Kluyveromyces lactis: one gene and its partner. The protein of the gene in region 1 interacts with the protein of each later gene in a biochemical or structural test. Links are inferred from orthologs where the notes say so. Each region holds a gene or a part of one and is shown on either strand. Other genes may lie near its edges.

Evidence for each region.
Region 2: the proteins of SYF1 (region 1) and ISY1 form a complex in vitro, tested with the Saccharomyces cerevisiae proteins (2 studies listed by BioGRID). The link is inferred for Kluyveromyces lactis from reciprocal best matches to the Saccharomyces cerevisiae genes SYF1 and ISY1.

The regions. Positions count from the first base shown.
Region 1 is NC_006037.1:177,764-182,384, reverse strand, and holds SYF1 (mRNA splicing protein SYF1), read left to right. Parts: upstream 1-1,530; coding exon 1,531-3,927; downstream 3,928-4,621. Other genes in the region: KLLA0_A02013g (putative aminopeptidase), read right to left, coding at 1-59; VMA8 (H(+)-transporting V1 sector ATPase subunit D), read right to left, coding at 281-1,111; AFG1 (Afg1p), read right to left, coding at 4,047-4,621. UniProt on the Saccharomyces cerevisiae protein: Involved in pre-mRNA splicing and cell cycle control.
Region 2 is NC_006042.1:1,549,974-1,552,839, reverse strand, and holds ISY1 (Isy1p), read left to right. Parts: upstream 1-1,603; coding exon 1,604-2,317; downstream 2,318-2,866. Other genes in the region: GDA1 (guanosine diphosphatase), read right to left, coding at 1-1,262; GTA1 (Gta1p), read right to left, coding at 2,513-2,866. UniProt on the Saccharomyces cerevisiae protein: Involved in pre-mRNA splicing and cell cycle control.

The DNA of each region.
Region 1 (4,621 bases):
AAACTATCAAATGGCAAAGCTGCCACAGAAGCTGCCAACAAGAACCACCCAAACTTCATAACTAGCCAATCTGATATTTGCTACGGAGTTGAAGCAAAGTATACACCGGTAGATGCTTGTACTGTCCCTTTTAATACAGTATTTATCCACTTGTTTCTGAAGGGAAAAAGGGTTTTTTTGACATCTAAGTAGAACTAACGTTGTTTAGAAGTTTAGTGTACATATTATGGAAAATGATATTCATTGATATACAATAATGGAGAAAGGGAGAAACCAAAGATCAAAAGATGACATCTTCCTCTTGTTCGGTAATCAGAGCTTCTACTTGTGGGCCAGATTGTTCTTCTTGTTCTTGTGTGTCGGCAGCTTCTACGCCAGTTTTGGTCGCTTCTTGAGAATCTGGTTTACCTTCAGACTCAGCATTTGCTTCATCTAATTTCTTCTGCTTCATTTCAGCATCCAACTGAGCAGTTTGAATCTGTTTCTTTTCTTGCACTTTCTTCAATCTATAAAACTCTTCTCTATCCAATTCGTCTAGCTCGGAGTTGATATAAGCAATGGTGTTTTCCGTTCTTGGAATGATCACATGTTCAATGGCATTCACTCTACGGTTGGTAACTTTGATAACTTCGTCCAAGATAATGAAAGCCGTTTGTAACGAAGCCAATTCAACTAGTGTTTCAACAGCCCTTGAGTAAATTTCCTTAGCACGCTGAACTTGTTGACCACCACGACCTAGACCTGTCATTTTGAAGTCGTTGATGTTGGAGTCGATGAATGATTCAAATTGAGGCAAGTACACACCACTCACGTTTTCTTGCGTGGCCCTAACTTTGAATCTTGCATTGGCAACATTCTCTTGAACTTGGTACCCTATATTTTCACCTGTAGCATATGTGACCTCCGCCAAAGAGAACGCAGCTGTTTGCATCACTCTGCCCATCTTCTGCTTTGAATCATCTATTCTTTTAGTGATATCACGGAATCTCTTCGTTAATGCTTCAGACTTTCTCTTCAACAAAGAATAACCCTGATTAGCACCCTTTAACTTAGTCTTCATAAGACCCAAGGTCATACGAGTGGGGAAAACCTGTTCCCTATTACTAGACATTTTTCGATAAAATTCAAGATGCTAGGAGTGAAGTCGTTCCTTCCTTGCTGTAATATGTTATCAGTACGCTTAGTACCAAACTCACCTGATTGGTACAGTAGAAAAACAGTTCTTTTCAAAGAAAAAGCAAACGATTACAAGTAAATGTGTTCCAGGTTGGATACTTGTCAGTGCCAGCCTAATTGCAACGTTCTGCCCCAGCTGATATATGCCCCCCTTTTCTACCTTTCTTTCGTCAAATGATTGAATGTCTTATATTTCAGATATTTTGAAAATTGGTTAATTTCGAAATTTAGATATTATTTCATTTACGGTGATATGTCAAAACGTTTAATGAGATGAGTTACAATTAAAGCTCCATCTAAGGTAAAGTTAGTGCACTGTTTTTCCACCAGGTACTGCGAGAGACATATGTTTCGATGGAAATAGATAAATTTGTCAAGGAGGAAGATATTCCGTTTGAGTATGGTGTTGTTAGAGAAAGAGACAATGCTGTATCATGGTCGAGATATTTGGCAACTAAAAGATCAGCAGGCGATGAGTTGAATTTAGATTGGCTATACGAACGTTGTTTGAAGGAGATCAAGGACGACTGGCATCTATGGAAAGAGTTCTTGAAATGGAGGATAGAATTATTGAACGATTGTGATATTTTCAGGCACAAAGATGAATACAATAAGATATCGTTACTATTCGAACAGTGCTTAACATCATGTGGCAAAGTTGGGGATGCATGGATTATGTATATGGAATGGGTAATACAGTTTAAGGATTTGAAGAGGATTAGAGAACTGCTTGGAAAAGCGCTACGATCAATGTCGTGGGAGTACCATGAAGCAATATGGCGTGTTGTCATCGATTTCATTATCAATGAATTGTTAATAGACAACAAGAGGTATGAACTTTCTTTAGAGGATTCCATCTACTATTTTGTTCACGGAGAGCATTCGACGAATTTTGATACAGACCTCTGGTCTTCCTCAATCCTACAGAGATATTCACTTATTTGTGACGACATAGAGCCTTTATTGATCTACATTTTTAAGACTCATGATTGGAGCACGATCGTTCGAGTATTTGAAAAACATCTATCACCTAATTTAAAGCCATCTCAGACAAGTTTATTTGAACTTTACGTTAGTTACATCACTTCAATGATTCTTGTGGATAATTCAGCAGGGGTTGCTGCGGTAGTGGACCAATGTATCGAATTATTCCCTTTCAAGAAGGGTGAACTTAAGACATATTTGATATTTAACCTGATACGTCAAGGAAAAATAACGGAAGCTGAGCTGTACTTAGAGAAAGTTATAAGCGAAACTAAAGACATTATCGAATTTTCTGTATTATATGATTTTTGGATTCGTATGGAGGAGCTATTGACCCAAGAATTAATTCAAAAGATGAAAGACGATAATTCAGAAAAGCAACGGCTGTTCGCAAATATAAGACTACATGCCGACACTCTAACCTCATTAATAAAAAACCACACTATTAGATTAAACGACTTAGAATTGAGGCGAGAACCCAACAACATCAAATTGTGGCTAGAACGAGTGAAGCTTTTTGATACCATCTCTGATAAAGCTAAAGTTTATGCAGATGCTGTTCTTACCGTGGACTATAGACTTCAGACTACTCCAGGGCTATTAGGAGAATTATGGTGTCAATATTGCAGACTTTTTGAAGAGGATATTGAAAAATCCGAGGTCTTGCTGGACAAAGCCACTAACGTCCCTTTCAAATTTTTAGTAGATCTTGAAAATGTTTGGTTATATTGGTGTGAATACAGACTAAAAAGAAGCATTGACGATGCCATAAAAGTTTTGTCCGTTGTATTAGAAATACCAGATAATCATGAATTACTCCTACAAAAATTTGAGAAAGGAGAATCGCCAGCACAAGCAGCAATTTTCTCATCTAAACGCTTATGGGCAATGTACCTTGACTTATTGGAGGTCAAAGGAAACTATGGTACAGCTGTAAATGCGTATGAAACAGCAATACTCATCAAGGCAGCAACACCAGCCATGTTTATTAATTATGCGTTATTAAATGAATCTTCTGGCCATCAAGCAGAAGCTTTGGCTGTTTTCGAAAGGAGTGTTGAGATTTTTCCTCCAAGCGTATCGAAGTCTATTTGGGATATATATCTGGATGTGGCACTCAAAGCTGATATCACTAAAGAGCAAAAAAGAGATATTTTTGAATCTGCTATTAAGCTTGCAGCTTCAGGAGTGGCATGTGTTTCGTTCTTTGAAAAGTACAGCGACTTTGAGTTAAACCTTGGTTTCCACGAGAGAAGTGTCGAGATTTTGCACAAAGGAGCCAAGAATATTTCGGATCTTGAAAGTAAATGTACTTTATGGGAAGAATGCATCAATAGAAGTGAAAAACAATTGGACGTCAATCACACCAGAAAACTATATGAAGAATGTATAGAAACATTGCCCAATTCTAAAGCAATCAAGTTTCTACTTCCATTTGCTATCTTAGAAGAATCGCGTAATGAGGTTGCTCGTTGTAGAGCATTGTTAGACTACGGGAGCAAATTACTGAAGCCCGCACAGAATGAAGAACTTTGGGATTTCTGGAGGAATTTCGAAACTATGCACGGTACAAAAGACTCGTTCAAGAACATGCTAAAAGCACGTAGGTTCCTAGAGGACACAATGAAAGTAAATACAGAGGAAGTATCCAGACATGCAGATAGCATCGAATTTAGGGCGTCAACTGCGAAAATTAGTGGAAGCGGACCACCAAGCGCAGAAGATAAAGGATACTCAAATACGGCTGAAATTGATTTAGGTCTATAAAATGGATATATATTGATTAAAGTTGATAATGGCATATCGATCAATCTCTTATGTTTTGTTTTGGAAGATGTCGTATTGTCTTTCTTTGATGACGTGTAACATACAAAAACACTAGTATCTTACTGTTTTTCGACCCAATCAGTTGAACTCATGTGGGATAATCTACTTAGGGCTCTTGCAAATGCAAACCGTTCTTCATCTAATGCGAAAATCTGTGCTTTTTTGGCAATATCCTTAGAAAATCCGTGTTTACTGACCAATTCATCCTCTACTTCAGGTTCATCTTCATGTTTCATTTGATCTGCTGGTTTAAGCTCATAGTCGTTGACAATATCTTCTGGTTCCACGAATAGTGAGGTGAAGTCATCTGCACCAGTGGTAGCTAATTTACCACCGTTATCGTAAACTGCATCCAAGAATGTAATGAACCGTCTAACTTCGTCACGTACGTATATGGTTAAGTATGGCAAATCTGTGACAACAAAGGACTTGAATGAGTTAGCCAAAGTTAAATAGTCACCAGCAGCCAAAGGTTCTCCACATAATTGTTTAAAGGTGAATTGTGCTACTCTCCCAGGTGTACATTTAGGAACGAGTAATTGTCTACCCCAGATAGTCAATGGATAGTTATATACAATGTCATGGCCATTTTCTGACTTACTGGGACGATGCAGTTGGGCAAAATAACTATACC
Region 2 (2,866 bases), on another chromosome or scaffold:
AATCCGAGAGGCTGTGTTCTATCATAGAAATACGAGAACACATATAGATCACTTGTTTCTTTGAAGGTGTGGACCAACGATGGTTGATGAATACCGTTGAATGAGCATGGAGGTGTGTTACATTTAGCGTCTTTGTTTAAGATCTTATCGGCAAGGTATCTACACTGTGGACCAGCCGGAACCTTTGGACCCTTGAAGTTGACAGTATAAATTTCGTCATCACTAATCTTAACTTTCTCGCCTTCAGCAGTGGTTCCCGGAGGTAAACATGGGGAGCTCAATTCATAAGTTCTTGCAGTTTGACCCTTAGTAATGGTTCCCGAGCTGATCGCAACGTTGACCAATTCAGTGTTAATCTTATTTCTACCTTGCATCAAACCATATCCCAAATGAGAAAATTGATATAGAGTATAATCATGACCACCGAAACTTAGCTCGTATTTATGTTCACCATCAACCATCTTTTCATTAGGAGGGAAACTTGGCTCGAACACAATTTGAGTAGAACCACCACCAAGATCGAAAACAGCTGCCGTTGGTAATTTAGAACCAGCGCCAATATTACCCAACAGATAGTTTGCAGTGACCCAAGCGTAGACACCTTCTTCCTCACCATCCATAATAGAAACACCATCTCCATCGACCACTGGGAATGGATAATCCTGTTCCAAATGTTTACGAACTTGTGCCAAGATCTTTGAAGATTTTTCATCACCCAACATTCTCAAACCTGCGGTTGCCTTAACTGCAACAGGCGTACAATTTCTCTTATCCTTTGGAACCGCATCCATAGCAATTTTCAATAAAGGATCCAAGGACTTAGCGGCTCCCACAGCATCGATATCGAAACTAGATAGACCAGGCTTCAACATCTCGAAAGTTTCATTAATCAAAGTTGGTGGTTGGGTACAAACGTCAAATTCATACACATGTACACGACTGCCAGTAGAACCGGCATCAATCATAACCACGTACTTATGACCCTCAGTACACTGAGATTTGGAAAGGGAATTGGAACCAGATTCCAAATTCTGGGATGTGTGGTCTTTGGCTGTTTGCTTTTGTGAATCCTCATTGATATTTTGACTGATTGGTGAAGAAGCACCAGGAACTTTTAGCCCATCTGGTGTGTCGACTTTATTGGAGTTCGCCAATGAACCAACTTGTGGAGATGCTGACGACCTTAGCAAAAGAAGCAACATCAAAGCAGTTAAGGCCCCGATGAGGAACCTATAGTTCCTAACCACAGAATTGATGTGCATCTTTTTTTTTGATTTTAGTTATGATTCAGATTATTCTCGCCGTAGAAACCAGCAAATGAACACAGCTATAAACCCTGAATATTTGGAGTGACCAACGAAAGCTTTCTAGTAGATCAGATCGCGTTGCCCACGGAATTTATAGCACTGTTTAATCTGTAACTATCTTGTCGTCTTCTATCTGTATAGATTTCATGTTATTATGTTTTTTTTATGTTGACAGATATTAAGAAAAGATGAAAGGACATGAAATAAAACTACAAGAACCAATCCCAAAGAAGAAAACCAGAGAGTTAAATCGATGATTATACGGGATATCGAGGTAAAGAAAGGGCGAAGTAACGATGAGTCGTAACGTGAATAAAGCGAACTCTGTTCTCGTGCGATACCAGGAGCTACAGGCTGCCGAAACCGGTGGTTATCAGGATTTTTCGCGGTTGAAAAGACCTACCAGGATCAATAAGGTAACGAAGTTGGATGAAGCACTTCGATGGAGAAACGAGCTTGTGAAGGAGATAGGTCAACGTGTGACACAGATTCATGATCCATCGTTAAACGAGTCTCAAATCACGGAAATAAACGATGAACTCAATAAACTATTCCAGGAGAAGGGCAGATGGGATTTCCATATCAGAAATAAGTTAAAGGGTCCAGATTTGAAGAAGAGGAAGCAGTTAAATACCACAGGCGGAACCCTCATAGATGGGAAAAGGTATTTCGGTAGAGCTTTAGAATTACCAGAGGTTCAAAAATTATTGAGGGAATCCAAGGAACAAAGAGAGAAGGAAAGAAGTGGGAAGGAAAAGAAAGCGGAGTTGCAGAGGAAAATCAAACGATGGGAAAGTACATTGAAAGACGACTATTTTGTAGGAAATAACAGTGATGAACTTCTTGAATATGAGAAGAAACGTACTGGCTCACTTCGATCAACTATTCATTCTTCTGATCGGGACCCTTCTTTTGTGATACCAAATTTTGACGTTCCATCCTTAAAAGATGTCGAACTTTGGTTGGTGCAAAGAAGAAAGAATGAGTTAAAGAAGCAACTCGGGTTGTAGTAATCGGAGCTACGAGAAGTTAGGCTTTAGTATATAAGGGGAATGATATTTATCATAGTTGTACTATATACGCTTTTAATGATTGCCTCTCATATCCACAGCATGACGTTTTATTCTATTCTTATGAATGAAAATGATGATACCAACCAAAGATTAGTAAGTTATAATAATATTGTCAACTGGCTGGTTGAAGGTTTAACTAGCCTGTGAGTCATGACTTGGTAATTTAAACAACTGTGTCCCTCTGGCAAACAGTTTAGACATTCGACGAGTTGAACTTTCCTTTGGTCTCTCTGTTGCAGGTTCGCTAGGTATTTCGACAGGCTGGTTAAACACCCACGATTTCTGCTGACTATCAGTTCTCACATGGTTGGAAGAATGTGGTGAAGCAACAGTGCTGTCATTCCAGATGCTGTGGAAGGATGGCGAAAATGCCGTATCAGGCACAGAATGCATGCTTTTAGAAGGAATTACCATCGGTGATGATGCTGGACCATTGTTCAGTGCTGACTGGAAAGAGATAACGTCATCATTTTGAGGATCGTTAAG